Linked DNA regions of Cricetulus griseus. The main gene of each other region encodes a partner of the protein of the gene in region 2 in a complex. Links are inferred from orthologs where the notes say so. Each region holds a gene or a part of one and is shown on either strand. Other genes may lie near its edges.

Region 1 (15,980 bases), on a different chromosome or scaffold from region 2:
TTGTATTTTTTCTTGCTTTCCCTTCACTCCACATTCAGTGCCTTCTTTGTACCACCTCAGGATTCTCAGTAGTCAGAGCTGCCAAGTAGGATCCTTGGCTGCAACGTTCCAACCACCTTAGGTTTCCCAGCCCTCCTACTTGCAGCGCTGAATGCAGAGCACTGTTCTGGGTTTCACAGTGTGCTTCGTTTGATGAACAGCCTGAGAGCAGATTCCACAAGGACTTTCTGTGTACCCTCTTGTTGAGTCATTATCAACCCTAGAAATACAATATTCTCACTGTCCCCACTTTCCTGATATAGACACAGTGACCCAAACGTTAAATGATTTGTCCACAGTTATCAAGTCGATAAATAGTGGAGCCTGGATTATAATTCTATTTGACTAGCTCCAGAGTTAACCGTAACACTGTAGCAAGAACAGATTAACAGTCATACTTAGTTCCAGGTGCCTTCCCACTTTAAAGTCCTGAGGGAGAGCAGCTCTCAGTATTGTGAATCTGGTCCTGTGGCGATAGTTGAATACACTGCAAAATATGTCCCATCTGGAAGCCCAAGAATGTTGTAGAATATTATTTTAACTTTGTAAAGATGTGTTACATTTGTTTATGCTGAAGAATATTACTTTAACTGTGCAAAGGTGTGTTACTTTTGTTTATGCTGCATCTGTTTAACAATGTAAGGATGTGTGTTTATTTATATAAAGATGTGTTGCATCTGTTTCACCCTGCCTAGGCATCTGATTGGTCAAATAAAGAGATGAACAGTCAGTAGCTGGGCAGAGAAAGGATAGGCAGGGTTGGTTGGCAGAGAGAGAATAGGAGAATTCTAAGTTCTAGAGGAGAGAAAGGAAGAACAAGAGAAGGAAGAGGAGGAAAGAAGGGGTGACACACCCAGGGCAAGAAGCTGGGCACCTGCTAACCAGGCAGACATCAAGAAGCAGGTAGAGTCACATACACAGCAATAAGAAAGGGAACAAGCCCCAAGGCAAAAGGTAGACAAAGAGAAACAGGTGAATTTTCAAAAGCTAGCCAGAAACGAGCCTAATCTAGGTCAAGCATTTATAACTAAGAATAAGTCTCTGTGTCATGATTTGGGAGCTGGTTGGTGGCCTAAAAGAAAAAGCCTGGTACACAGGAGTCTATAGCTGCTTCTCTGTAAGCGGGGTGCTCCTGTGCTGAAAGTGTTGCAGCACACATTTGCATTTTGTGGTTACTTGCTTCCTATCTGATAGCAAAGACAGCAATATTTTATCGTTTGTTTACTTAGAAAAAAATGAGTGAATGTTTCAATTATTCCTGCCTCACTGTTCCATGAAATGTAGAAGTAACATGTTTATAAAGCCAGCACTATGGGCTAGCAAGCACAAAGCCTTGGGTTTAACCCCTAGTACTGAACCAACCAGGCATGGTGTCATAGGCTTATAATCTCAACACCTGGGAGGTGGAGGCAGAAGGTTCTTGGTCAAGTCAGGTTTCTCGTTTGTTAAACAGGGTAGAGAAAGATGGCATTCCGTGGAATGAGCAACACTGAAAGAAGAGGCTACCATACAGGTAACAAGATCCGGAGTTCCATCTCTGTGCATCAGATATAAGGGCCTGAGCCCACTGTTGAGGCGCAGGAAAATTACTCAAGCTATTACCTGAGTAAAGTGTCTCACTCCTGCCATCCCAGGAGGATGGGAATTGGAGGCAGGAAGATCTTCAGAGATTTGATCCCAGCAAGGAATACATAATGAGGTCTAGGCCAGCCTGGGCTACAGAGGGAGGCCCCATCTCAAAAGCATAGCCAAAACAAACAAATAAAAATCCCAACACCCCTATCCCACCAGTATTCCACCAATAACATGTAGGTGGTTATTCAAAGCGTGAATCTAGCAGGGAGAGCCTGTGGCATTTAGGAGAAGGTGAAGGGCCGCACTTAGAGTCTTTCAAAAGAGCAAGGGTACCTTGAGGAGACCGGGTGAGAGGCTGAGCACCTTTGGCTACTTGGGGTGAAACTTTAGAGAACAAGTTCCCAGACTAGAGGAAGCAGCATCTAGAGGGCAGTAGAGACTAAAGGAAAAGAGGAGGCAGCCTAGAAAATGCAGTGGTTTTTACTTTTTCATTTTATTTAATTAGCTTTTTTTCTTTTCTTTTACACACCCACCACAGTTCCCCCCTTTGCTCTCCTGCTGTTCCCTCCTTCCCCCACAACTCCCATCTTCCCCCTCCCCATCCACTCCTTTTCTATCTTGAACAAAAAAAAAAATGCAGTGTTTTCTATCCATGATATCACTTCTGGTTACAAACATTTAACTAATTAATTGATTAAAAAGCCTCAGTGCACCGCCCAGGCTAGCCTGCTTCTCACTGTGTAAACCACGTTGGCCTTGAATTTGTTGCAATCCTTCTTCCTCTCCCCAAAGCCATGCTTATATCTCGCTTGTACACCATCATCCTGCTCTGCTTTTTTGAAAAAAATATCATTACTAGAAATAGAAATAGTTTGGAAGATAATGGCTCCCAAGGAACAAGAAGGTTGGCTAAAACACGGAGTAATATTTAAGTTCAGAGAACATGAGTTTATGAAGATTATTTTTAAAGATCTGCCTGGGTGTTCTGGTCTTGTTTGTACAGACATTTCTAGGAGATACTGTTTACAAAGTGGTCAGCCCTGAAACCATATGCACATAAACAACAAAAATGAACTCAGTGGGTTATAGTCATGTACTTGTGCATACTTGTAAATTTATATATATGCAACAGTAATAATCAAATAAAAAGAGACTGTCATCAATTTGAGAGAGGGGGACATGGCAGGAACTGGAGGGAGGGGACTTGGACAGGGCTGTAGGTAGGAAATGAAAGGGAGAAAGTGATGTAATTATATCTTAATTAAAATGTATAAAAAGTAAAAGAAAAATAAGCCTATCCAGGTGACAAACTCTACCTCAGACAAAATGCATAAGGAAGATTATTCCACAACATGGACATTCAGTTGCCTTAAGGAAGAGAGAATTATGTTGTGTGTTTTATTACTCTCTTTTGACTCAGCCAATGCCTTCCTTAAAGGAGGCTTAGGATTCTGGCCTTCGTAAGGGTGGCCCACAGTGTAACAACATCATGGCCACTGTCTATTAGGCTGCCATGGCTGCTGCCTCACGTTTGTCTGTTGATGCTTTTTTCCCTTTTGCAGTACTTTACATGGACTCTAGGGCCTCACACTTGCCAGAAAGGCCCTCTACAGGGAAGCCACCCTGACCCCGACCAGAAGTTCATATAGTAGAAGGGTCTTTGCTCCTGGAGGGCAGAAACACCCAGTGTGCATAACTTCTAGTGAGTTCCTAAAAGCCACAAACAGCACTCTTGTTCATACCAAAGGTCTCTTGTTGGTGGCGTGTGCAGACACACCAGTTTGTCTCTGCATGGTTTCAGCTTTACACTGGCTTGTCATGATGCAAGAGCTCCAGTCACGATGCAGCTGTGTCATCCGCACTATTGAAGAGCAAGGGCACGAGGAAAGACATTTTGCCCACCCGCTCTTCATTTTTACAGTAGTATTTTTTTTTATGAATGTGTTTCTGTTAAGCAAAACATTCCCCCGGTTAAACTGAGTTTCTTACATCCTCATTTATTACTCCACAGTTGGAGGTTGCAAGAGGTGACTCCACTGGCTTTAGTGGGAAGTCTGTAGGGCCAATAACCACCCTCACGACGCTCTGGCTCCGTTTCCTCTTGCTAAAAGTGGAACCACCTAAACAGTTGTTGAAAACATTTGCTACTGCTTCTCATGTAAGCTTCTCTCTCCAGTCTCTATTAGCTGTGATCAATTTTTAAAATGTCAATCTCTTGCAACCTTCACAGACCAAGTTAGAATTCGAGGCCCATAGTGCTTTCCACCAACTGGGCTCTGTGTCATCTATCAAAGGCTATGACACACTTGCAGAGGACATTCTGTCACTGAGATAGCTTTCTGTGTGTTCAGCTTGAGAACTAACTTTATGGTAACAGCAAAAAATGTTGGCAAAAGTCCCTCCAAATGCTTCCTTCCTCCTCCCCGACTTGGCGGAGAGCTATAAGTACTAAACAACAACAATAATGGTAAAGGCTCTTTATTATTCAAAAATAAATAATAACATAATCATTAAGTTCACTACAGGAACAATGGAGACTGCAGGGGGCTACACCAGATTCCTTTAAATATAGTCATTCCATGAGGAGGAATGGGCAGGCCAGGAGCTGCTGTCTATAGTGCCCTGACAGTGCTGTAGACCGGGACAGGGTAGATAATAAGAGAACCAGTTAGCAACAGCATGACTCTGTGTGTGTGTGTGTGTGTGTGTGTGTGTGTGTGTGTGTGTGTGTGTGTGTGTATGTGTATGTGTGTGTGTGTGTGTGTGTGTGTGTGTATAGAGAGAGAGAGAGAGAGAGAGAGAGAGAGAGAGAGAGAGAGAGAGAGAGAGAGAGAGAGAGGAGAGAGAGAGATTGGAGAGATTGGAAGACTGAGTTTTGGGTATTGGGGGGAAGGTGGAGTCAGAGTTTCTCAGTTCTCCTTGGGAGACTTTAGAAACTGGCCTACTGGGGCCACGAAGACCCCAAGTCAACCATAATAGATTGTGAGCTAAGGCTCACAGTTGCCCTTCTGCATGTTTCCTGGTAAGTCAAGTGCACTGTCCGCTGAAAGACACACTCATAAAGCAACACAACTTGGCTTGATCAGTTATCTACTGTTTCATCCGAGCTCTGTCATCTGTGCGTTATGGCTTTGTCTTTTCCTAGGGCTCTCTGGTTGGATGCATCAGCAGAGCTGCTGTTTCTGATGATAAGCTCTTAGGGAGCAGGGTCCGTTAGGATTTTGCCTGCCCTGGAAATTTCTTCTTTCAGCTCTAAGTGCCTTGGGATACATAATAAATAGTTCTCCATAAGGAGGGTCCAAGGGTTATAAATAGGCAGTTCAACAGGGGGCGGGTCCTAACGATTTGCTGTATGGGGAAGACTGCCAGCATCAGCCCTGCTGCAGCCTAGGACAGCACACAGCTCAGAGTTTGAGTAAGCCGAAAGATGTGAAGCCGATTCCGTGGATCACTTGGCTTGCATCAGTCACGTTGACAAACAAAGAAGAATCTTCTTGTAATTCAAATACTCCTCCCAAGTGAACAGATTGTTGGCCACAGGGCTTGGAGGAACTGTGGGTGTTTGCTGCCCTGAGTAAAATTCTCTCAGATCCACTGGTGGACTTCAGACAGAGGCTGACTAAAAACGGATCTTTACTCGAAGGTCCCTGATTAGAACAGAAGGTGACTTGGGTGTAGACATAATAGAGTCCTTGTCTTTTAATAGTCAGCTGTTTCCCACTTTCGAGCATTACCAAGTTGTTTTTCATGGTATAATATCCTTTCTTGGCCCACTGTAGAACTGTAACAAAGAGGGGGAAACCCTGGTGAGCATAAGCACAGCATGGCACATATTCTAACAGGAAATAAAGTTTAAGGCTGGATGTTGACTTCATGTGAGAATGAGTTCTCAAGGCACCATATGGACAACAGAAGCATGGGGAAATTATAGATACCAAGTTTACATGGGCTTCAGAGTTAGTGTAAGCTTGAAACCTGGGTTTTCTTTGAGCTTGGGCAAGTCACTTGATCTCCCCAAGCCTAAGTTCCTCAGCAACAGAATAGGGACAATATGAAAGCATAGTTTAGAGACATTGAAAAGTTAAATAAATTAGCAGGTAACAGGAAGCTTTCTCTCTTTAGAACCAATTTGCCCTTAAATTTAAGAAAAGTGCAAATGATCAGCCAGACATGGTGATATGCACCTAGAATTCCCAGACACTGAGGCGGGGAATCTTGAGTTTAAGGTCAATGTCATCTTTGGCCACATAATGACTTTGAGATCCGCCTAGGCTAAGTGAAACCCTGTCTCAAAACAGCAATACAAAAGGGACTGGAGAGGTGGTGTGTAAGAGCAGATCACAGAGACATGTTGGTATCGACCCTACGTGAGAAAACATGAGTCCCAGGTTCAAAGAAAGCCCCTGGTTCAGGAGAATAGGTCGGCAGTGATGAGACAAGAGTGCACTCTTCTGTTCTTTGTGTACTCCCACTACCATTCACTGAAGTATACATACACACAGACATACTTATGCAAACATGAATTCATGAACAAATGAATAAATGGTTTGAAAGTGAAGTGCTAATGTTTTCAGAATTATGCATTACAGAAAATTCTTGCTAATATGTGAATATTTAGCTTATCATGAGTTCTATAGTTGTCAGTCCACCTAGATTAGCGACAGCTCAGAGACAAGACCCTATGTCTTCCTTCTACCTTATGCTGTTGCAGGCCTGACCTGCCTCCCACGACCAAGCCTAAAATAGGCAAGGAAGTATGAAAATAAACCATGTGCTCATTTAACTGTGTTTTCATCTCTCCTTGTAGTGGGTGCCACCAACATGAAAGTACCCATATTCTTGTGGCTACAGCAGAGTCCCCACCAACAGTGTACCATTTTCTCTGCTGAGATGTTGAGTGGGTTCAAAGTCATGTGTGTACATGATTTAAAATCTCAGCTTCCACAGAGAGCTAGGTTTGATGGGGGCAATGGGTGGGAGGTGGGGAGAACTAAAAGTAGTGATATATTTGCTTTCTTGAGATTTTCCAAATAATTTATTTTGTGGCTTTACATCACCTACAGCATAAGATGCTTCTTATTCAGACTTTTTTTTGGGGGGGTAAGAAGGCATCTCACCACACCTGGTATTTCTGGGTACCTGACATTCTCCATAAAGGATGTTTGTTTTATGATGTTTTCACTTTTGGACGATTTGATTTAGAAAAAAAAAAGGAGCAGATTCTCTTCTGTTTAATGAATTGGGTCTTCCCTTGCATTTTTTCATTTCTAAGACAGGGCTTCACTACATATCCTTTGCTGGCCTGCAACTTGCTATGCAGACCAGGCTACCTGCCTCTGTCCCCTATAGCCCAGGTTGTCCTGGAATTTGCTTAGTAGGTTAGGATGATTTTAAACATCTAATCCTTTTTGCCCCACCCCTGAGCACTGAGATTACAGATATGTGCCATTAGGCCCCGATTTCCCCTTTTTAATTCCCTACTTCATTTAAGTTCTTTCTGGGGCATGTAGGTCAAGTTTATAGCATCATGTCCAGGAAAGAATGAGAAATTTGGAGCTACAGTGTCCTATACTATTTCCTATTTTGTCCTGTGCAGATAGATCTACTGTGATATAGACTGTGAGATATTTCACAGGCAGTGCCAATTCTAGTAGGCCTTTTGAAAAATTCAAAATTCCACTAAATATACCCAAGTCCCAAAAGATTTAGGTGGAACTTGATAAAGATCAGTAGGAAGTGATTCTAAGAGGTTTCTCTGTTATTATAATCTAATGCAAAAGTGAATATATCATGTGAATGGATTCCCTGGCTACAGCAATAATTGTGGTGCTTTTCTGTAAGCATATTTTTAGAGAATGCTATATGACAAAATTAATAAATATTATAGGAACAACTGGTCTCCATGAAGGACTTTATGTCACTTTCTGGATATTACAGTGAAGCAAGCTAAGTACTGGCACCTTACTCAGGTATAGCATAGCTTAATAATGTAACTCTTCTCCCACATTAGTTGATTTGATATCCAAAACTACTCTGGGAAGTATGTGAGAAAGAAAACTGCAACAGAATGAATGGGATTTGTCTAAAGACAATGAGTATGTGGTTATTGGCTCTAGAAACCCAGTGTTCATGAACTCCCTAACCAGGACTCTTACGTTTGTGCTGTGAGCCACAATATCATGTAGTATGTGCATCTGTGTTATACCCTGAGTAGCTCAAGTCACCTCAGAGACAAGATATTGTCTTCTTTGTTTTTCTGTGTTTCTCTCTCTCTCCCTCTCTGTCTCTCTCACACACACGCATACACAAACACATGACTTAGAAGTCCATTGTAGAGCACTCTGCTGAAGCTTTCAAATGCTGCTCTGATGCTCATGCCTTTGTATACATGGGGAGTTTATGCTAGCACACACGTTTCCATCCATCTACAGATGTGACACATTCTACAGCATCAGCTTTCACAAGGCAGAGATTTGGGGGAAAATATGGGCTAGGATGATGGTAGGATATATGTGGAAATAAAAGCATTCGGTGTTGAAAAGATCACGATATGCCATCTGTTGTTACTTCATTGAAAAATCTAACTTCTTGGCGCCTATTGATCATTACAAAATGATTTTTACCTTTAATTTCCCTGAGGTCAGCCCCACTGAGGCTGGGGTTAATCATACAGGGATTGACAGATGACAAAAAGACCTCCTGAGACCCATTTATGTACAGTGGGGAGGTCTTAGGAGGACAGATGTTCCCAGTGAGGAGGCCACTACCTGCCATTTCTTTTTATGCTTGTAAAATAATGGTTCCTTCACTCAGTCATTCATCATTTAGAATCAGCCACTGAGCAAAAACATAATGAGAACATCGGGACTCTTCCCCACCTCCTTTTGCCGCTCTAAGTCCCAGCTGTGCATTTGAGCTGACTTTGATAACAAAGGACAGTGTTTGAGAGTTATATGGGTAGGTTTGTAAATTGGTCCCTGGAGGAAGAGAAGAGCCTAATGATTAGGCTGCATAGCTTTGGAGTACCCCCTCCCCGTGCATGCAATACACACACACACACACACACCACACACACACACACACACACACACACACACACACACTCAAACACTTGGGTGGCTTTCACTCAGATGCTATGGGACTTACCAGATGCTGTTTTACTGTTGGCCTCACTCACAACATGTACTGCAATTTGAGGATCCTCATCACCTGAAGTGAAACCAAAAGCACACTGTCAGGCCAACGAAATGTACAACTGCACGTGGAATTAATGGGTACTGTTCTACAACTGTATATTAGCTAGAGCAGTTTACCTTAAAGGAAGGAAAACTGGTCTACTAATCCTTCCCACTGAAGGAAAAGGTAGTTTCTAATACATTAAAAAAACTTTATTGGCTATTTCCATTGATCCCTTTCTCTGATATTCAATACTCCATTCCACTTAACACGGAATGGACACAAGCCAAAACATTTGTCTTCAATAAATCTGTCTTGAATCTTACAAAAGCAAGAACAACTGCCATACACTGGAATGGTAGTGGACACCAAAGCTGTGGCTGGGCACTGAGCTAGTAACATGATTATCGTGTCTGATTTGCTCAAGTGACTATCCAGATTATCAAACTGAGCTTTCTTTCCCTTGCAAGAGCCTTGCTTCCCAATTAAAAGTGTTCATCTCCTAAGTATAGAATCCGTAGGAGCTTTCTTTCCAGTTATAATGATTTTGAGAACTTTGTAGGTATATTATGAAGGATGTTTTGATGACAAAACTATGCATTACCTGAAAGACCTACATCCACAGGGGCTTTTCCTTAAAAGCTCACTGCAATTAGCAGATAACATGGCATCACTGAACATGTCTCATAGTCACTGTGAGGATGAAAGCTTCAGGGGAATCAGATGAGCCTTGGGCATCAGACCCGTGGTTGAGACAGGTTCAGAGCACTCTCTTCACCTAAGGAAATCTAATTTCTGTCTTTATATGTATGCATTTCTTCTTGTACATTAGATTTCTGTAGCTGCAGCATTGTATTCAATAACTTTGCAGTATAATAGCTTCTGCAGCAGCACTCCTCCTTTTATACTAAAGTCACTCCACATATCATGGTTTGGGGGTGCTATATTCTCAAAGGACTGGGGAGAGTTGTGCTCAGAAGAGGAAATAGCTGGGAGAGGAAAGAGCCTTGAAAGGATCATAAAGGGAAGAGTGGAAGGTGCTGGGTATCTTTAGCCTAGATAGAAAAAATTCAATGGAAACTCGGGGTCGTGGTTGCTGTCTTCAGTAACCAGACAGCTTTCATATAAGGGAGTAATTATTCTATGTTTAGTATGGCCTTAAAGAACAGTAATGTGTCCAGTAAGGAGACATTCCAGGAATTTGAGGTAAGACTTTTTTGAATAGATGTTGACCTTAATATAATTAACAATTAGAGCTGTTCAAAAATAGTCCAAGTTGTCTTATTAAGTGTAAGGCATCCTATCTCTAGACAAGTCTGAGCAGAGGTCATTTGTTCAGTGATGCTTTTAAGGGGATTCATATTCTCAAGAGTGTACTGGGTCTGAGAGCCGTCAAGGCCCCTTTCTGACCCCTAGATGTCCAGGACACTCTCACGTCAAGAACAGGGCAAAGATTAGAATGTAGTATTGTGTCCATTGATCCCAGAGACCCACTGGGTACCATCCTCTCATAAAATAGTTATCATTGAATGATGAATGTCATTTTTTTAACCAAAAGATGACTTTCTTGTCATCTGGTCCTCTGAAGGTGGAGCCAGATTGTGTAATCGCTTGGATAAAGGTATTGGATGTGGGGTTCCTTCATATTTGATGTTACCAACATTACAGGAACATACCCTCATTGGTATGGACATAAAAAGCCTTTCTATCACTGAGGCCTGAGAGGGTACCTATTTGACAAATGTCTTTTCTTTCCAGGGCTAAATGTTCTCTGTTTCATGTGGTCTTACTCTTTAAGAACTTGTAGAAATAGCTAAATAGCAACATACCTTTTTGCATTTCATAGCTGTTTTCTTTTTTCTCTTCCGTGTTTAACTTTATATCCTAAAAGGAGAATCATTGCAAAAGATCAGTTGACAGAAGCTCTGATTTTGGGGTTTCAGGGTCTCATTCATTTGGCAACTATGTTGTCCGTGCCTGGTGAGGATTATAATATAGACTAAGATGCTGTCATTAATTCCATCATAGCAATTGGGAGTTCCTGGCTCTGACAGATGAGCTGACAGCCCAGAAAACTCAGGGGAGATCCTAGAAGCAAAATCCAGGCCTTATTATCTCCATTACAGTGCTCTCCCAAGACCAGAGGTTGTGATTCTGACCCTTTCTATGACCCTGACCTCAATGCCTGTGACAGATATTGATGAATAATGCTGAATGGGGCAATAATTCAACACTGGGAGCTGGCGTGTGGAATATTATCAAACACAATGTGGGGTGTGGGCCTGTTCAGATAAGGTTGCTTTGAAACCTCATAGGAAAATATTTGAATATGATCATGGGAGAGAAATCCAGACTTTCTCTTTGAATGTGCTTTTGTGGATAGCTATCCCGTGTGGCCTGTACTTATGTAGATTAATCAACATTCAGCAAATATAGGCCATCTTCTAATGCTGGTGATGGTGTTCAAAACACATAGTTTCTTGTTTCTCTTTTAAGATTTTATTTTATTTATTTCTTTAGAAAATTCTATGCAAATTGTTCTGTGTTTTTAGGACAGGTTCTTAGGTAGCCTAGGCTAACCTTGGACTTGTTATGAAGCTGGGAGTGACCTTGAATTCCTGATCCTCTTGCCTCTACCTCCCAAATGCTGAGTACAGACATGTACCATAATGACTAGCTAGATGCAACACTTAAAGATTTCTTTTACTTATAAGGTGAAAGAATACTAGACTGACTTAAGGAAGCTAACCCAGACTTCCTTCTATGTAGATTGAGAGATGATAACACCTATCGCCGCCATTTTAAGGAGAATGAAAATGAATGAAAGGCCTAGCAAGTATGAGGTTATCCAAAGGGTCTGAGGATTAAATGAAGTTCAGAACATAGGATCATATCCACAGGCCTGCCTCAGTCTGTTTCATCACTCTACTCTGAACAAGAGAGGAAAGAAAATAGTAGTGCACCCACATCTGAGAGTCCTGTACTCCTTGACATTCCTGGAACCTCATATCTTCACATTCATCACCCCAAGAAGGCATTTGTGTTGTAACTCTCAACTACTTTAGCTGTACACTCAGCTTGGTTGCCAGATGTGAGGACCTAAGGCACGGAGTCCCAAAGTGGAATCTGAGCCTCAAAACGTTCACATGGGCTCCACAGATGTTCACATGGGCTCCACAGACCAACTTTCCATTTGAGCTGCAATGGGGCTCTATGACAATGCGGCCACAGGAAAATGTTTGTGTGCTAACAAGTAAACAAATGACTGGTGTCTTTTCAAACACTACTGTGTGATGATTGAAGTTAAGATACTACTTTTAGGCTAGGTGGTTGCAGTGGTGTTGGGACCTGGCCCAGATGAAAAACGTGAAGTCAGCAGAGTTTGTCTTTTATGCACCCAGTCTTGCCTTTTCGTGAACTTTCCCCCAGCCACACTCCCCAGAGCCTTTTTTTTGTACTTCACTTAAAATGAAAGGCCTTATTAAAATCAAATTTCAGAAAAATCTTGGATTAATGATTTCTGTTTCAATGGATATAGCACCCTTTAACCTGAAATGGGAATGATTTTATGTCATCAAAGGCACCTCAGACACTGATAGACAGATAACCATGAGACTGACCATTCTAGACAGAGTGAGGTAGATTTTAATGTGTAATTACACTGTTCAAAATGGTGCCTCTACTTGCCCTAACTTGAGCTCTGACTCCCATCTCCTTCCCACAATGAGAGCTCTGTGGCACTTGTCACTGAAGATAATGAGCTCTTTGTCATGAGAGGTATTTAAATGAAAATTGGGTGACCACTTCGAAGTGGTAGAGAGAAGACTGAAATTCTAAGAACTGAGAATTGCATCTGGTCCTGTGACTTCAAGGTTACTCTTGGCCAGCCAGATCATAGTCTAAAGCCCGCTAGTATTAGCAGAGAAAACACAAATCTAATCTGGATTTAGTCTATAGTTGACTTGCTGGGCTAAGAAGTTCCAAATACTGTTTCTGAGCGAGACCTCTAGGGAAATGGTGATCTAAAAGGGGACCAGTCGATAGAAGAAAATTAACTGGATAACTTTGCATCTCAGCTTTTTAAAATCCTAGGTAAAGATGACATTGCCTGGAGCTCCATAGCTGCTGCAAAAGGAGCAAGGGGTATCCCTGACAGGTATCTAGTACATTACTAGGGCCTTGGCTGATATACCTAAAAAGTTCTACTTTTTTTTTCTTTCATACAAACAGAACCGACTCTTTGTCCTTGCTCCTATCTTGGGCAGATGAATCTGGAAGCTTTGCACATCAGACCTGAATAAGGAGAAAGGGAATTGGCAGATGACCTGTGAATCCTCTCTGTGAGAAGGAAAAATGGAAAACCCAACAAGCTGCTTTTACTACCATTCAAGGAAATTGAAGACTGATCACATAGTAGGAGAATGTCAGGGCTGGTAGTGTCCTTATAGAGAGTCTCATCCCCCCTTATGCTATACAAGAGAAACTGGAACTCAGATGAAATCGGTTATCTAAGGCTATTCAGCAAAACATAGTCATGTTATTTGGATTATCAAACATCGTCTTTAACACAACTTTATACATGTTAAAATTAGAAACACCTCCCAGTACCCTATATTACACCTAGAACTTTATAAGCACTGAAGAAACCTAAGACATTTCCTGACTTCACCAATCTTGCAAATAAAGTGTTAGAGGTTTTATCTAAGTCCTAGATTCTGGAATATGGATATTAATTCAAGATACACTATAACCCTGCTTAACAAAAATTAACTTGAAAAGCAATCAGGCATTGCAGAGAATGGAAACAATAAATTCCAGGTTAAACTGGACATAGTGGTACCTGCCTGTGGTTAGAAGCAGGAGGATCAGGAGTGCAAGTTTTCAGCTACATAGCAAGTTCAAGACCAGCCAAGACTATACAAGATTATCTCAAAAAAATCTAAATAAATAAATTCTAGTTTAATATAAGGAACTCAAAAGCCAGTGACAGATTTGAACTGTATTCTGATCCCAGTAAGTGGCCTAGGAATAAGGTTTTAAAATCTTCTTCACTGGATTACACCGCACCTTGGTGACAGTGCAGGAGGATGTGTATTGAGTTCATAAATGAGCTCTCAAGAGGACCGTGAGATGGCTCAGCGGGTAAAGGCAGCAGATGCCAAGCCTGAGGATCGGAGTGGGAGCCACAGGACCCACATAGTGCAAGGAGAGAATCAAGTCTCACAAAGTTGTCCTCTGACTTCCATTTGTGTCACAAACTAACAAATGAAATAGGATCTTATTATACTCTTTACTCCATTATTCAAAAGGTATTAGAATCAGTGTTCAGAAGGGAAATGGGCAGCCAGAGTTTTCGATGTTCTGTTTCAGGGAAATACAGTGCCTTGAGCTCCTGTCGGTGATGCAGTAATAAGTGGGAAAATTCTGGAAATTCATGGTTTACATATTCAGTTATTAGTAAGCTGGATGACAGCTGGATGGTTTGAAAAGGCTCGAATCTTTAGCATGGAATGGCTCTGTGAGCGAGTAGTGTTACATGGGCTCTACTGTGAACCGCACTGAGAGGGGGCATCCACCTCTTTCTATGCAAGAAAAGGGAAGAGCCTGCTATCACAGTACCTGAAATCCCTCTCATCACTGGATAAGCACTTCAGGGATTTCTAGTACTATCAGGACAGGCAGTATCTTCCCTTATGGGCTACCAAGATGGCACCAGCCAACCGTTGCTAATTTCCCTAAGAAATGGAGCTCAGACCCTGGTTTTACAATGGTAAGATATCAAAGGTTGAATGGAGAAATACAGAAATATAGAACTCCAACTGTATGTACTATGTAACTACTGTGTGCCAGTCACGTGTATGTACTGATAAGCATGTGTCGCTATGCATAAGGGTCCCTATCTTCTCCAGAGAAACCTATTTCTATTTCAGTAATGTGCACATGTCCACCTTTCCTCTCCATTTCATCCTAAAACTTGCTCTGCGTTTGTGCTTCTTGTATGCACACATTTCCACACCCACCTATATACGTGTGTATGTATGTATGTGCACGTGTGTGTTTATATACACCACATTTGGGTAATGGCTCACTCTGTAGAACAAAAATGGCCTGGAATTTGTTGCAGTCTGCCATTCTGCTTTGGCTTTACAGTGCTGAGGTTGAAGGTGTGACCACCACCCTTGCTTACAGTCGGAAACATTTCGAGGGTCGGAATTCAGTTTGCACAGCTAGGAAATGTACTCAGACTTCTCAGTGAAGTCTGCCAGGAACTGAGTCACTTACCTTGACAGGGTCTTCATATTGCCTTTTCAGGTCCTTACAGTTGATCAAGGGTAAGGTTCCTTCTTCTTTGATGCATCGCTGAAGCTTTTTTATGAATATAAAATCCTCACGAAGGCTTGCTTCCTCTTCTACCTGGTTTGAAATAACAGGCTTATGAGAAATGTCACAGTGAAGAAGAATGCAGCTAATGATGTCTGCCTCCACGTTCACTTCCATGGCACTGAAGAGCATAAGTGAGGAGTATTATAAGTTATTATGCTGGATTAGTGCTCTTTGATGCTTGCCATTGAACAGCCTCAAAAAGACAATGAATCTGATGTCAGGTTATCAATGGCTCTGGATAGAAATTACAGCTATTCTAGCGACCTTTCATCACAAAGTATCTATGTTTTTCAATGTACCACAGCAGCAATATCCTATAATTGTCATATTTCCCATCAGCTATAAAGCAGTTTGCTGCTAAGCTAGCTTGCCTGCTTCATGGCAATGTTCACAAAATGGGGCTTTATAAAGGAGTCCATTTGTAATGTGGATTTATAATTGCATCTCTCCTTTCTTACATACTTGTAGAAAGCATTTGCATTTTTAAAGAAATTATCTCTCAGCCCCAAAGTGAATGAGATATTTACTTTTCCAATATTGGAGTAATTAACTATATGCTATTAACTTGTGTTGTCAACTAATTCCATACCACAAGTGTAGATTCTTAACTTCATTTTTTATAATTATTTTATTTTTTAAGTTTCATTTTATATTCCAAACTCAATTCTCTCTCCCACTCCTCCTCCCGCTGTCCCTCACCTCTTCCCTCATGAGCCCACCTGGGTAAACTGGGGGTGAGGTAACGGGAAGCAGAGAGGAATGAGGTTCTTAACTTTCAAAAGAAGAACCAATACAGGCATGGTGGA
Region 2 (16,490 bases):
GCCTTGGGCCCAGGTCACCATGAACCACACTGGTATAGCCTAAGCCCCCAGGGCTACTTCTGTCCTCCTGGAAAACAGACGAGGGGACAGGATGTTCAGAACATTCTACCTGATCTGGCTCAGGTTCCTGTCACACACACGCGCGCGCGCACACACACACACACACACACACACACACACACACACACACACACACCTGTACACAGGAAGATTCCTAGTCTTTCCATCCCAAACCTGCATCATGATTTCTTGGGCAGTTACCAAGACCTTTTAAATTATGGAATTAGCGGCATTTGTGTGTTGGGAAACAACACACAACTCTCATTCCTCCTTGGATGGGCTAGAAAGAGCCAATAGACTTTGCCCCAGAGGAGGGATCCTGACCCAAGTAGCCTCATCCTGTCTAGTCTCCAGCCCCACCTCCTCAGCTCAGACTCCCATCTGCCCCAGGCAAGCACAGTCCTGATGGGAGTGAACTTAGACCCAGATCTCAGCTTAACAAGTTGTTTGAACTCTAAGCCCCATCTGTGAGATGGGTGCAATAAGAGGCCACACCTCCTACTGAGTGGTCAGGCTGAAACTGCGAAATGAGTGAGGCAGGGGTTCAGGCCTCAGCTACAAAGCATGGGACCTATGCAGAGCCAGCTCAAAGCAAAGCCAGCGTCACCTAGGATTGGCATGCAGCAACCGACGACTGTAGAATGTTACCTTGCCGCCACCTGCTGGCCACTGCCAGCCTCACAGCCACGCCTCCATGTGCCAACAGAAGAGCAGTGCCTGTAAGGGAGTAGGCTGGCTGGTCTTCCCTACAATATTCAGACTGAGACAGACCTTTAGGGAGCCAGTCTTTTATCAGAGATGTGTGACAAATGTCCATACCCCCCCTGCCCGTGCCCAGTATTGCAGACAGCTCGTGGCTAAGCTGGATGCTAAGAGATACTAAAGTTACTTTCCTATGCTTGGTTCTGCAGAAACTTCCAGAAGCAGACAGGAATGGAGGCAAGTGGTATGGCAGAGAGTTGAGCCAGGGAGCAGTAGAGGGAAACTAAACCTAGAAAGCAACAAACAGAAAGCAACGGGGCTATGTGCTCGCTGTGGGCACATGGGACTCCATCACTCTAGGGAGGCCACAAAGCAGTGTAGACACCCCTCATGGCTGGGGTGCAGTTGACATACTACTTGCCTAACATGAATGAAGCCCTGGATTCAGTCCCTAGAAGTGAATTAAATTGGACATGGTGGCACACACATATAATCCCCAGCACCATGGGATCAGAAGTCCAGGGCTATATGGTGAGCTTTAGGCCCCCCTGGCTAAACCCTGCCTCAACTCAGCTGGATTGAGAGTATGTGCTCCCAGACACTAACTCCCCCCAGCCTGGCCTGCAGCCACAGAAGGCAAGTATTCGGGACAGGGGAAGCCCCATCCATCGATCCCAAAGCCAACAGGAAATCCACTGCCTAGTCAGCAGTGTGAATGCCAAGGGCAGCTGTTCTCTGAGTATGTTCTCTGATCCTGCAGCATCGGGACCACCTGGGGAACTTGCTAGAAATGCAAATTCTTGATCTTGGTCCCAGATCTGAACCAGAAACATGGGAGGTAGGGCCCAACAATTTGTCTGTCTACAAACCTCACAGTTGGTCACTGTGTTCCTTCAAATCCAAGAACCTCTAACCTAGAGGAGAGCAACCATCACCTACAGCACCTGCTAGAAGAATGTGGCAGCAGGTAAGAAACTGGGAAGCAAAGGGGTGGCAATGACTCTCCCAAGTTTACTCAGATAACAAGTGACAGGTGGGTCTTTTGCCTCTATCCAACACACACACACACACACACACACACACACACACACACACACACACACACACACACACACACACACACACACACACACACACACACACACCACACACACACACACACACACACACCACACACCACCACCACACACACCACCACACACACACCACCACCAGCAAGTCAGGACCACCAACATTTGGGCTCTAGGCAGGGAAAGAGGATTAGGTCCCAAAGTCCCCCACCCCACCCCCACCCCATTTCCCTCTGCTTTCTAAACTAGAGCTTCCACCTGGTGCCTCCAAATGGCCCTGGAAGCTCTTCTGGGAAGACTGCCAAAGCCAGGTGTCCTTCTCTTGGCTTTCAGCGGCACCTCCCACCCCCAGCCTCCATCAGGACCAGCCATGGCATCTCTACCCTCCAAGCAGTGGGACCTCTAGGGGGATCCACAAGTGTCTGAGACCTATGAGTTAAGCCTCAGTGGGAGCCTGTGTAGGAGTCTCTCTGAGGCACCTCCTTGGCATGGTTCCTCCTCCCGCTCCTTGTCCCCCAGCCTTCCTCCCCTCCCCTCTGCTCCCACTCCATCTGCTGCTCCTCCTGGCTAGGCTCCCCCTCAGATGGCACAGCAGGAAAAGAGAACAGGATGCTCTATTTTTATCCTGAGACACTGCCGTGGGGCAGGAGAGGGCACCATCTGACTGAGAAGCACAGAGGAGGTCAGAAGGAAGTGGGGGACCCAGGGTCTCCCTGGAAGCTAGTGTCCACAGTGGCTAGGTTCTGGAAAGCAGCTTGGAACCAAGAATAGGAGTTCATGGGCCACTGCACACCACTGTGTCACCATTGGCAAGTCATTCCCCCTCTCCATACCCATTCCTTCCACCTGTAAAATGGGGGGGGGACACAGACCTTGCCTGTCCTAGAAGGCTACTTCTGTGAACCCGAGGCCTCGTAAACTTACCACTGAATGTGAGCACACCGGCAAAATTCCCTGGAGGCCCAGAAGTCTGGGGACACTCTTACTTGAGCTCAGAAAATACCTAATTCTTCTATTCTAATAGCAAATTAAATATCTCATCACCTGGCATGTCTACCCTTAGTCTCCTTTGTACATGTTTGATGATTTTTTAATTATGTAAGCATTATATGAATCTACTGTCCCCTTGGAAAGATAATGAAGCATTATGGGAAACCCAACACACACACACACACACACACACACACACACACACACACACAACCTACCTCCAGACCTCATCACTCTTTAAAAAAAAAAAAAAAAACAGTTCATTTATGTGTACACGTGTTTTACCTGTGTGGTATGTACATGTATCATATATGTTCAGTGCTTATAGATGTCAGAAGAGGGCATCAGATCCCCTGAAATTGGATGGCTGTGAGCTACTATGTGGGCGCTGGGAACCAAACCAAGACCCTCTACAGGAGCCGGTGCTCTTAACCACTCGGCCACCTCTTGAGACACACTCCTGCCGTCTGGATTTTCAGTGCTTAGTAACACATGTAACATGTCCTATTCACAGCATCATAGCTTTCCTTCCATATCTACATAGACTGTGTTCAAGCACAGTGTGCAGCCTGCTTAAATACGGTTTAAGGAAGGGTATGTGACAGCTTCAGGTGCTTTGTTTTGGATGTTGGGAGAAGCTGTTGTTCTTTAGTGGTTTTTTGTTTTGTTTTTCATTTTTTTTAAGACAGGGTTTCTGTGTAGCCCTGGCTGTCCTGGAACTCACTCTGTAGACCAGGATGGCCTCGAAACTCAGAGATCTACCAGTCTCTGAGTCCCTAATGCTAGGATTAAAGGCATGTGTCACCACCACCCAGTTAATGTTTGTTTTTGAGACGGTATCATGTAGGTCAGGCTAGCCTTCAATTCACTATGTATTCCAGGCTGGCCTGGAACTCCTGGTTCTCCTGCCTCTTCCTCCTGAGTGCTAGTATTACAGGCATGAACCACCATTCCCATCTTGGGGTATGCACATACACACTCATGCATGCATGAACATGGACCACAGAGTGCCTGTGGAGGTCAAATGTCAATCCTCTGGATTTGGTTGTCTCCTTTTACCATGTAGTCCCAGGGATAAAAATCAGGTGGCTAGCAATTTACCCACAAAAGCTATCTTACTTGCCTGGGTATGTGTTTTTAAAGGTTGTTTCTCTACCCACCATTCCACTACCTGTTTTTGTTTGTTTCAGTTGATAGTATTTCTGAGATCCTGTTGTATAAATACATTACAGATTTATTTAGCCAGTCCCCTGCTGATGGGCAATCAGGTGTCTTCTAACAGTACAAGCCACAAAGCCATAGACTGTGGTGTCCATGACTCCTGATAGTGAAAGCCACCAGGATACATCTCTGGGTCCTGTATTGCTGCACTCTCTGGATCCCTGATGCCCAAGCTTTTCCTCCATCTTTAAAAGCAAGACAAGGGATGGCAGCTGGGCAGGCGCGGCAGTTTTTGTTCCTTTCGAATCTCAAATGTCAGCCGCCATCCGAGCCAGGCCCTTGCCCTCGTGCCATCACCACTGCAACAGTTCCAAGATCTCAGACCAGGTGCTTCAAGTCCATGCTGTCCATCAGTTGTCTCTCCTGCACTGCTATGCGGCTCTCCTTGCCGTCCTCCTGTGCCACAGGCTGACTCCCAACCAATGTCTCCTGCACTGGAGCAGTGTTGTGGCCAAGACAATCTTCTGTCTCCGTAGGATCTCCCGTTTCAACAGCAGGGAGTGAGGCCTGGAGAGCCAGGGTGTGAGAGCCAAGGTCACCTCTAGGCATAGAGCCACCCTGTCCCTGAGGAGTAGAATCCTTCCTCCAAGTCCCTTCCCCTTGGGGGGGGGGTGATAATCAAAGCTGATTTCTCAGATACCTCCTGCCCCCTGCTGGACACATGAAATTTGGCAGGAAACTTCCAGAGTCAGAGTCAGCCAGCAGAAGAAGCTGCCCCTCTGGTTCCACCTTCTGGCCTCTAAAGGCTGGACTTCCCTATGTTCCAAGCCAAAGGAAAGCATGGGCAGGGTTGTTCTGCCAATGGTGCCTGGCTCCTCCCAGTGGGGAAGTGATTAGTTAGAGGACGGAATGAAGACCGTGATTCAGGGCAGGGTAGGGGTAAGAGTAGCCGACTGTCACCTTACTGGCCCCAGGGACAGACACTGAGCCTGTTCCCTTCCACCCACCCACCCATCCATCTCTCTCTGTCTCTCTGTCTCTGTCTCTGTCTCTCTCTCCCTCTGTGTGTGTGTGTGCTCGAGCACGCTCACGAGCACATGTGTGTACATATACATAAGGAGTGTGGTGTTGGACGTATGTACATGCACCCATGGAGACCAGAGGTCGATGTCACTCTCAACCTTATTTGCTAAGTCAGGGTTTCTTTCAGAACCTGGAGTACCTTGTGTCAGCTAGACTGGCTGGCTAGCAAGCTCTGCATGTCCACGTCCCCTGCCAGCCCTGACGTTACAGGCTTTTTTTCGTGGGTATTGGGTCTAAATTCAGGTTCCTGGGCTTGTGTAGCAAGCACTTTGCCCACTGAGTAGTCATCTGTCTCCCTGTGCCACGCATGAGTCTCCCAACCTGCCCACCAGTCACTCTTTCCAGCTTACCTTATTATCCTCTGGTTCCTTGACCACCTTTTCTAGAGAGAAAAAGAAGGGGTGAGGCTTTGGGAGGGCTGGTTCTGCATCCCTGAGTCCTCCCCCTCTTCCCTCACAGGGGCACTCACTGATACAGAAAGACACCGCTATGAAGATGGTGATGAGGACGGCCATCACAATGGGAATGACCAGCAGGGCTCGCGTCCGGGACTGCACACCTGCAGAGACAGACTTGAGTGGAGCCACTGGCAGATGCTCCCACTCCTTGTCCAAAGCAACTGCGTCTTCCAGCATCTGGACCTCCTGAGGCTGTCAGAGCTTTCAAGCAGCAGCATTGTGGGTAATGTTGCATCAGGGGATCTTTTTAAATGCTTCTGTGGTATTTGCCAATGGTTATGAACTGAGAGATGGCGTATTTGTGGGGGGACAGCGGATGTGGGTGTGGCATATGTGCAGGTGTGTGCATTCAGAGGCTGTCCTGCTCTGTCACGTCACCTTCTACTGAGCCAGGGTCTCTCACTGAGCCTGGAGCTAGTCTGTCAGCCAACAAGCTACAGCAGTTCTCCTTCTTGTTGCATTGGGGTCACAGTCACCCCAATGCCTAGTTCATGCTTGCACAATAAACACTCTTACCATCTCTCTAGCCCTGGGAGATTTCAGTTGGGAGGATCACACACACACACCCCAGTCAGCCAACTTCCCACCTGGCTTTCACCAGCTTTGTGGTGAAGGGAAAGCCTGCCTGCCTGTTTCTCACACCCCCTGCTCTCTTCCCTAGCTGCGGCTGTTCAGCTCTTGTGTCTACATTGTTAACATCTGCTATGGAAGTGTGGAGCAGAGAAATAAAGTATCTCTTGTGTCTACATTGCTATTCCAAGTGACAAAAAAAGACCAAAAGGCAGGAGGCATCAGAAGCAAGGGGTGTAACCACTTCCCCATAACAAGGAGACAAAAAAATTGAATCCTCTTTGAGACAGGGTCTCACTAATCGGCTCAGGCTGACCTTGAACTTGGGGTTCTCAAGCATCAGCCCCCTGAGTACTGGGACTGTAGACCTGTACCACCACACCCACCTGATAGATAGGGATGCAAACACCAACAGCACAAACACTGGCCCATAGGCGGCTACACGGCTTTTAAATAAACTTGTATTGGAACCAGAGTCAAAATCAGGATGATGTAAGCAGGATCCACACATCTGGCAAGGCCAGCTCCTACTCGATTTTAAAATTTGCTCTTTTGTTTATCGCAGGTTTTTGTTGTTTTTTTTTCTAGCATAATATCAAAATGTTTTTTCTCTTGCTTGCTGTCCTTTTACAATAGTTTATTGCATGTCACAGATGACCTGTGCTTCTGTCACCCATTCCAGTCACATCTTCCCAAGAGAACAAAGTCAATCTCGAGAAAAAGCCAAGAGATTGTATCTTTATTTTCCTTTCCCTTTTTGGCATTGGGGATCTAACCTAGGACCTCACACATGCTAGACTTGTGTGGGGGTCTAATCCAGGACCTCACATACACTAGTGTGTGGGTCTAACCCAGGACTTCACACCTGCTAGATTAGTGTGTGGGTCTAACCCAGGACCTCACACATGCCAGACAAGTGTGGGAACCTGGGTCATCAGGCTTGCACAAGAGCTTAGCTTAATGAGCCGTCTCAGTAGCCCTCTTTTTACTTTCTATGTTGAGACAATGTGTTCCCAAACTTCCCAGGCTAGGCTTGAACTTGCAAAATTCTTGCCTCAGATTCCTAAGTAGCTGTGCTGACAGGCCCACTCCCCAGACCCAGCTCTCTTACCCCTCTCTTTACTCATTCAGTGACAACCTAGTCCCTGAATCTGAGGTCGTGATCCAAGCCTCTTGTCAAGCTTCTCATCCTAGCATCCAAACCAAGGCTAACAGGTGACAGTGTCACAGTGCACCCACACCTCAATTGAGGGGCAACAGAACTGTGCTCACAGTTTCAAAATAGTAAAATTCCAAGACATGCTCTCATGTAAGGGAGTACAAGTAAGGGAGGTGCTGCTGCCAACCCATTTCACAGTTGAAGAAACTGAGGCTCACACAGCAGATGTGACTCATCCAGCTCCCAAGATACAAGCTGAAGTACTATTCCCCAAACTGCCTCTTGCCTATGCGTCTCTGTGTCCTCTTTAAAACACTAGGCAGGACCCGTTCTCCCCTGGACTCACCACAGACAGCGTCAGTCCGATTCGTCCCTTCCTGCTGTACCACCATGTTTTTGGCCTCGCAGCTGCACAAAGACACATGTGAACACATGTATGTGCATGCACACACACATGTAGAGAGGGAGAGAGAGAACAGGGTTCCCCAACCATAAGACTTCCAAGCCCAGGGGAGCCAGGCAGCAAGTGGCAAGTCCAGGTTCACTGAGCATGTGGCTTACAGTGCAGCATTCTGAGCTGGTCATTATGGGAAGGGCGGGAACATGCACACAAGTGAAAGGAAAAATTACTGCTTATATTGAAGGAGGGATAGCCAGGAGTGTGGATGATACCGGCCGGGCTTGATGATAAGGGCTAAAACAGAGAGGGCATTGTTCAAAGGCAGGAGCCTCACGGCTGGAATGAGAGGGGATGAGTTTGGTTCTCAGTGGAGCATCTTGGCACCCACAGGTATTTTGAGCTGGGAAACATCCTAAGTCCCAGAATATTTCACAGCGCCTCTGTCTCCACCAGCTAAATGCCAGGAACAGCACTCTAACCAATTACGGCATCTGAAAGATGACCAGATGTGCCCAAGGTCCCATAGAGAGCAAAACTGGTCCCTGTTAAGGGTCTCTGGTTAAGGGTCTTTGGGGGAGACTTCTCCATGGAGACATCGAAGGATGTGAAAGAGGGAGCCAGCCAGGTGGGACCAGTGTGACAGGAGAGTCAAGGAGGCACCTGTGATGATGGAGTGTCCTTGGCACCCAGCCTCATGACCTAACTAGAAAGAGGAACTGCTCCCAGGTCACTCATGCAGGAGACGTTGCAGAAGAGTGGACAGTCGGCTGAGGCCTCCAGAGGGGAGGGGCATTCCAGATAGGAAGCAGAGGGTCCCTGAGACAAATTAGGGGATCCACAAAGGAAGATCAGAAGGGCCCCAAAAGGTACAAAAGTTGAAACAGCAGCACACACCAGCTAAGTGGTGCAGTGTGGCGGGCGCACATTTGACTCCGGTACAGGAACCTCCATGATCAGCTAATACCCACCAGTGGACACTGATGAGTGCCTCAGGTGGCACCATTCCAAACACAGAGTAGAGACTCATGGGAGGGGGGAGGCTTGAACTCTCCATTCAAGCAATTGTTAGCCTTTGGGGAGGGGAAAGAGAGCCCTTATACAAGGTAGGTCACAACTTGTATAAGGTGTGTGTGTGTCTGTGTCTGTCTGTGTGTGTGTGTGTGTGTGTGTGTGTGTGTTTGTTTCTTCTTTACTAGAAGAATCTCTGGAAAGGAGCACTGGGAAAACAGCCTGAGGGGAGGGGCTTGTTCATTTAAAACAATAAATGTAAAGAGTTAATGGGGCATGTACTTAAGGGTTCTCCCAGGCAGGAGACTTTGAAGCAAAAGAATAAACAGTGTGCTCAGGGGTACAAATGCAGGGTACAAGATATGGGGGGAGAGTTAGAGGATCGTGCCGGACCCCAGCCCCACCCCAGAGCCAGGACTTCTTCCCAGAGGCAGCAGAGAGCCATGGAGTGCTGTAAGCCACAAAGTACTGTGATCCAAAAAGGGCTATGGAAGGTCACAATGGCAATACAATGCAGAACCAGCCAAGAGGTAAAGAGCCTGTGAAGAGACGAAGCCATCACCACACTACAGTGATGAGGCCCACGAGACCACACTAGAGAGTAAAGAGGTGGATTCCCAAGACGCTCATAGCAGACTATAGACCTGACTGAGGTAGAGGTGAAGGCAAAGGTGTGCGGCTCTATGTGACTGCCTCAAACCAGAACCTGCCTTTCCCTTGGGGCTTGGCTGGGTGCCCATTCTGGCTATACAGAGACTGAGGTGTTGGGGAAGCTCTACATTCAGCAGCAAGACTTGACCATCTGGGGCCCAAACCACAGATCCAGGGGGAAATGGAACCACGGATGTAGATAAGACAGCCCAGGAGAGGGGGAAAAGTAACTGTGGAGAAGAGGACTCAAACAAAGCACCAGAAAGTCAACTAAGAGTCAAGAAGGGCTGGGGGATAGATAACCCAGTCAGGAAACTACTTGCCCTGTAAGCATGAGTTTAATCCCTAGGACCCACATTAGAAAAAAGAAATCCAGGCTTGGGGACATATGGTTGTAATCCCAGTGCTGCAGAGGATGCAGAGGGTCCCTGGAACCCTGACCAGGCAGCCTAGTCTACTTAGCAAGTTCCGGGCCAGTGAGAGACTGCCTCAAACAAAAGAAAAAGGTGGATAGTACCTGAAGAACAATGCCCCAAGTTGCTATCTCACACACACACACACACACACACACACACACACACACACACACACACACGTGCACACATGCATATGCATACACAAGAGTGTGTACACATACACGTATGTACAAGTGTGCGCATACACCTACACGCCCAGAAAGCGGAAGAACTGACAAGGAACATTCATCGAGAGAAAGGGGTGCTGTGGTGCCTCAAGATGAGAGACTTCAGGAAGGGAGGGAGACCCAGATTCTATTAACTAAGCAAGAGCAGGCAAGAAAAAAGTGCAGAAAGTGTCCCTTAGGCCAGCCATGAGGGCACATTCACAAGCGAGTGAGTCACTGAACAGCAGGTGACTGGAGAAACTGCCACAAGACCCACACTACTTTTGGTTAAGGAGAGGCAACCCTTCTACCTGGTCCAAGGATGACATTGTTCAAAAGCTGATGACCCACTGGAGAAGAAGCCGGCTGGGCAGGGTTCACACACCGTATCGGCAGTCCGTGTGGCTGGGAGCATGTGGGGAGGATGCATCAAGAGTCTCTGTGAGTCACGGTGTCACAGCCTGAGCCTGCCTTCAGCTCCTTGCCCCGGCGCAGTGGTGGCCCTGAAGACTGCAACCCAACAGGAGTCCCCTTCCCCTTCCCCAGGAAGTTGCCCATAGCCAAGGCCAGAATGCAAAAGATCCCACTTCCTGTTACCCAGAGGGAAGATGCCAGTCCAAGTGGGAGTCGCTATCCCCTCAGCTTCTGGGGGCCAAAGCCAACTGCTCAACCCCAGCTCTTTTCTTCCACCCATAGAGCTGTTTCCCAGGGAGGCCACTTACCCATCTGCTTAACTCCAAAGCCAGGGCCACAGGATGTGTGTTGAGCACATCTCTGGCACTCCTCACTAGTGCAGTGTTGCCCTTCCTTACAGGCACAGATGGTGTCTGTATCTGCAGTACCCTGCTTCTCAACCTCAAGCCCTTCCTCTGATCAGAGATGAGAAGGAAGAATGAGAAACCCCCCTGGGCCACACTAAGAGTCCTACTTCTCATATCCTCTCCTGTTTTCTTACATGCTCCTCCTGGTACAGAGGATGATCAACTAACTAACTTATTCAACAGCCCAAACTCAACCCAGACTCCCACCCACAAGGACAGACCCTAGCTACTGAAATCGGAGGGATGTCATGATTTGGAATATCAACCCAGTTCTCAAGTGCACCTCCCCAAGCAGCCCCACGCACTGGATTCACAGTGTGTATGCTGGTAACACCGGAGCTCTTTGTTCCACTTGTTCATGAATTCGCCGGAGTCACACAGAAGGCACTGGGTCTTGATGGCATCCGTGCAGTGGCTCTCTAGTCTCCTTCCTGTAAAATACCAGAAGGAAATAAGGCAGTTTCAATCCTGTGAAACAGATCCTGTCACTACCCAGTGAGCCAGGGCCTGGGGCAGTGGAGCTTGGGTCCACCTCAGACCCTATATAAGTGGGGAAGATGGAAGAAGACACAGGGCAGGCAGCCAGGGGCATTCTGGCATCAAGGAGGGGGAGGGGGGATGAGCCATTTTTAGCCTTGAGTTCACAGTTCATACATAGGGTCTGTATCTGCCAGCAAACCATGAGGGAAGGAAGGGTCTTGGTATGGGGCTGGAGAGGCTAACATCTCACCTGGCTGGCACAAGTCGCAGCACCGGCCATTGAAGAGGTACTGTTTGTCATCGCATGTAATGCATTGTCCTAAATGGACCTAAAAACAGAAGTGTGTAACTGGAAGGGATCTCTGACAGGCATGTTGAAAGTTAGCCAAAACACAGACTGTAGCAGATGTGGAAATCCAAAGCAGAAAGAAAGCCCCCACAGTATGAGGTATACTTGATTTTAACTCTACTGCCAAGTGGTGTGGTTATAAAAGGCATCCAGAGAGTCATTCTGCCATCTTATAAAGCAAGAACTCAGAACTCTCTCACCCAAATAGATCCTCTTGACTCCTCAGTGCACCCGAAGACCCAGCAGGAAGGGAGAACTCAAGAACTTCCTGTAGAGCCGGCTGCTGGCTCCAGCTGGCCTCAGCCCTTCTCCTGAGTGCCACCATGCTTTCTGTCCCCAGCTCCACATCAACTGATGCCAGAAGGATAGGAGTCATTCTATGGAGGGCAACACTGAGGCTGAGTGAGACACCGGGCAGGTACCCTCAGAGCTCAGAAGAGCGAATCAAAGCGAATCAGAAAAGCTAGAGCTACAGATGGTTGTGAGCTGCCCAGCATGGCTGCTGGGAACCTAATCCCCAGTCCTCTGCAAGGGCCACACATGCTCTTAACTGCTGAGTCATCCTCCAGCCTGTATTGTGATCCTTAAAGTCAGGCTACATTTTTTTAGTGTTCCACAGGGACAGAATCAAAGTTCTCAACATGTCCTCTCTCCATCGACCACGTTTCACTCCCGCCATTTCCACCATAGCATAGATGCCACCCATGCTATGAACTTGCTAACTTAAACACACTTCTCTTTACTGTAAGTCTGTTATTGCCTTGAGAGAACAGCCAGTATCACTTCCCATAAATTAAAAAGAAACCCTAAAAATACACGCAACTGACTCTTAACAAGGTTAGTAAACCTCAGCTAGTCGCTGTACTTGCTGAGTGCCTCCTCCCTGGGCCTGTCTTGATTTTAGTTTTAAAAGTCTTTGAAAGGTATTAGCTAGCCAGGTGTGCCTTTGCAGGCCTTCAATCCCAGCATTTGGAAGGTAGAGGCAGGCAGAGTTCAATGCCAGTCAGCCTAGTCTATAAAGTGAATTCCAGGACAGCCAGGGCTACACAGAGAAACCCTGTCTCAAAAACAAACAAAAAAGACAAGGAGGGAAGGAGGAAGGACATTAACTATGGTCTAACTCCAGAGACTTGCTCCTTGAAAACTAAGGACAGTCAAGGCACCCACAGCCAAGCCTGATGATCCAAGTTCATTCCCTGAGAACCACAGGGTAGGAAAGACCGGCTGCCATAAACTGCCTTCTGACCTCCACACATACCCTGTGGTACTCATACATGCATGCATACATACATACATACATACATACATACATACATACATACATACATACATACGTGTAATAAAAAATGAATTTTGTTTAAAGTGAGAAAGTTTTCTTTAAGAACTATAAAGTGAGTCTGTGCTTTGGTGTGTGCGCACATGCATTGCCCTGTTTGGGACTTGGAGCATGCACTTGCCACAGTTCAGGTGTGTGGAGGTCAGGGCACAGCATCTGTGGCAGTCCTCACCTGCCACCTGTTTAAAGTGGGTCTTGTCGCTGTTCTCAGCTGCATATGGCCAGCTGGCTGGCCTGAAAACTTCGGGGACTCTCCTGTTTCACTGTAGGAGCTTTAGGGTTGCAGACTTCTACCACACACTACCTTACATGTTTCCAGGGATGAACTCAGGACCTCAGGCTTGTGCTTCAACCACTGAGCTATTTCCTCAGTACTGTACTTGAGGATTTATGTGAGGGTTTTTGTTTTTTTTTTAAGACTTTTAAGTTTTAGACCAGTGGTGGTGGCACACACCTTTAATCCCAGCACTCGGGAGGCAGAGGCAGGCGGATCTCTATGAGTTTGAGGCCAGCCTGGTCTACAGAGTGAGTTCCAGGACAGCCAGGGCTACACTGAGAAACCCTGCCTCGAAAAACAACAACAACAACAACAACAAAAAGAATTTAAACATTTTTTAGGTTTATTTACTTTATTTTATGTGTACGAGTGTTTTGCCTGCACCAGTGCCCTTGGAGGTCAAAAGAGGACACGGGATTCCCTGGAACTGGTGCCAAAGCTGGTTGTGAGCCACCATGTGGGTGCTAAGAAACTGTACCTGTGTCCTCTGCAAGAGCAACAAGCGAAGTGTTCCAAGGATCTGTCTAGCCATAAAATGTATTTTGTTATTGATTATGGGTAGATATGTGTCTATATGTGGATATGTGGGGTGGGGGGGACAGGTCCTTTAGAGTTCAGAAGATCGAATCAGAAACTCCTTGGAGCCAGAGTTGCAGGGGCTGTGAGCTGCCCATTGTGGGTGCTGGAAACCCAACCCCAGTCCTCTGCAAAGGCCACACAAACTCTTAACTGCTGAGCCATCCCTCCAGCCTGTATTATGTTCCTTAAAGTTGGGTTACATTCTAGAAATACCCATGGCTAGGGCTGTGGGGAGACCTTGTTTGAGAATGAGACAAATCGCTCTGTAACACAAACTAGTTATCTTGCTTTTCTGAGGCTGAATTTCCACACCATTAAAGATCTGTTTTTATTGTTTTGTGTGCCAGCCCAGTGTGGGTACTAAGAACTGAACCTGGCAGCATGTGCCCTCTCCCACTAAGCCATCTCTCTAGCCCCGTTTCCTCACCTTTAAAATGGAATTATAACACCTGCCCCAGAGGTCGGGTTGAGAATGTGAGAGAACACAGGTGCACGGGCTGGCAGTCTACCATGGTGAGTGCTCACCAAATGGCAGCTGTATTCGGCTCACACATATGAGTGTCTGCTTGGGTGCCCTGCACCCTGGCAACTGACTGTCTGTCCAGGATTCAGCTAATGGATTGCTCTAATTCAACCTGGGTATCTGAGCAAATCACTTAATGAAATGCATCTGAAAGCTCCTCCCACAACAGCATGTCCCCAGGCATCGACTTTCCCACTCTACTTCTAGAGCAATAAAAGCCCTGACAGCATCGCTGAGCAACTGAAACAAGACACCTCTCCTCTGATGACTCTCCACCCCAGTTTTCATTCCCCAAAGTTCTCCACAAAGTTCTCAGGGCCACAGCTTGGGGACCCCTTGCCACGTGACAGATACTGATTCATATCCATCTTGAGAGACTTTGGGCAAACCCTTTCCCCTTTCTGAGCCTCATTTTGGTCATCTGAAACAGAGGAGTCGGGAGAAATCAAATGGAGGCTATATGCAATCTCTCTCCCAGCCCCATGTACAGAAAGACCTTGATAAACAGCACTTGCTATTTCCATCAGGGCCCAGCCGCTACCTGGAGCCCAGATTGGAGCTCACAAGGGCAGACTTTGCCCTCAGGTAGTCCAGACCACCCTCCATCACACCTCTGTTTCTCCCTCCATTCTACCCACAAGGCTCTCATCCACTTCTCTCCCACTCTACCCTCCTCCTGCATCCTGTCTCCCTAAGAGACATTGCTCAGAGCAGTGGTTCTCAACCTTCCTGACGCTGTGGCCCTTTAATGCAGTCCAGTTCCTTGTGCTGTGGTGACCCCAACCATAAAATTATTTTCGTTGCTATTTCATAACTGTAATTTTGCAACTGTTATGAATGGTAATGTAAAAATATCTGTGAAAGGGTTGTTTGATTCCCTGCCCCCAAAGAGTTGAGACCTACAGGTTGAGAACCACTTGCTTAGAGTGAAAATGAAAGCTTGGAAAGCAGCTTCTTCACTTAGTCTCCTCTCCTGTTGCTGACCCCCACAGTTATCCCTGCCCAGGCCACAGGTCAGAATCTCCAGCCCTCAGCTGGAGTTGGTACAATGGCTGCACTGCAATCACGAAGCCCTAGGTTCCGTTCTTAGTGCCACATAAAACCGGTCATGGTGGTGCTGGAGAGATGGCTCAGAGGTTAAGAGCACTGACTGCTCTTCCAGAGGTCCTGAGTTCAATTCCCAGCAACCACATGGTGGCTCACAACCATCAATTATGAGATTTGGTGCCCTCTTCTGGTGTGCAGATATACATGGAAGCAGAATGTTGTATACATAATAAATAAATAAATAAATAAAATTGTTTAAAAAAAAAAAAAAAGGTCATGGTGATGCATGCCCGTAGACCCAGCACTACAGAGAAATTCAAGGACAGGAGAGAGGGCTCAGCTATTAATGTGCTTACCACATAAACATGTGGACCAGAGTTCAGGTCCAGAAACACATGCAAATGCCAGGTATTTGCAGTGGCCTTCCTGTAATTCCAGACTTACAAAGCAAACGGGGGATCCCCAAAGCAAGCTGGCTAGTGAGACTGGCCATATGGGGAGCTCTGAGTTTGATTGAGACCCTGCCTCAATGAGTAAGGTGGAGAGTGTCCGAGAATGACTCATAGCAGCTTCAGGCAACCACATACAAGAACACACATGTATCAACACAAATGTATACACACATACAAACAGTACACACTCAAAAAAATGGGGGGGGTAGAAACTGAAAGTCATCCTCAACTATATAGCGAGTTTGAGGTCAACCTCTGACACCTGAGATTCTCTCTCAACTCAGCTGGTTGATAGCATATGCTTAGGGCACTGAATGTCCCTGTCATGTTGTCCCTTTGAAGCCAGGCCTGTAACATGACACCTGCCCAAGTGACACCTGGACAAGTCGGAGGGAGTTGGCTGAAACACCTAAATCCTTGTCTCCAAACCAAAAAGATTCTACAGCGCTTGAAAACACGGGGAGCCCAGCCAGAGGGGCGGGGATGAGACTCAGGTAGTCAGGGGATTCCCAGCCTCCAGAATGAGGAACTGCAGAAATACATTTAAACCAAAAGTCAATCAAGTGATAGCTTCTGGAAATCCCGGAGATACGCTTGGTTGGGTCTGAGCCATTCTGGTGCCTGGAGAAACCATGGCTGGTCTCTTCACCCTTTCGTGGGTTCCATGGCTATTCCTCTCTTTGGGTACCTCT

The links.
Region 1: the proteins of Cd40 (region 2) and Cd40lg are in contact, whole or in part, in a crystal structure (PDB 3QD6), measured with the Homo sapiens proteins. The link is inferred for Cricetulus griseus from reciprocal best matches to the Homo sapiens genes CD40 and CD40LG. Residues at the interface, in NP_001241.1 of Homo sapiens: Glu64, Ser65, Glu66, His76, Cys77, Gln79, Tyr82, Asp84, Asn86, Leu87, Trp109, Cys119; in NP_000065.1 of Homo sapiens: Ile127, Glu129, Ala130, Lys143, Gly144, Tyr145, Tyr146, Cys178, Pro217, Cys218, Gln220, Ser245, Gln246, Ser248, His249, Gly250, Thr251, Gly252.

Annotation. Positions count from the first base shown.
Region 1 is NC_048604.1:15,201,181-15,217,160, forward strand, and holds the end of Cd40lg (CD40 ligand), read right to left. Parts: intron 15,205-15,980; coding exon 15,073-15,204; intron 10,675-15,072; coding exon 10,620-10,674; intron 8,824-10,619; coding exon 8,761-8,823; intron 5,396-8,760; coding exon 5,019-5,395; downstream 1-5,018. UniProt on the Homo sapiens protein: Cytokine that acts as a ligand to CD40/TNFRSF5. Costimulates T-cell proliferation and cytokine production.
Region 2 is NC_048599.1:14,347,835-14,364,324, forward strand, and holds the end of Cd40 (tumor necrosis factor receptor superfamily member 5), read right to left. Parts: intron 11,565-16,490; coding exon 11,486-11,564; intron 11,187-11,485; coding exon 11,061-11,186; intron 10,804-11,060; coding exon 10,657-10,803; intron 10,340-10,656; coding exon 10,246-10,339; intron 7,662-10,245; coding exon 7,600-7,661; intron 5,626-7,599; coding exon 5,536-5,625; intron 5,449-5,535; coding exon 5,417-5,448; intron 4,551-5,416; coding exon 4,362-4,550; 3' UTR 4,179-4,361; downstream 1-4,178.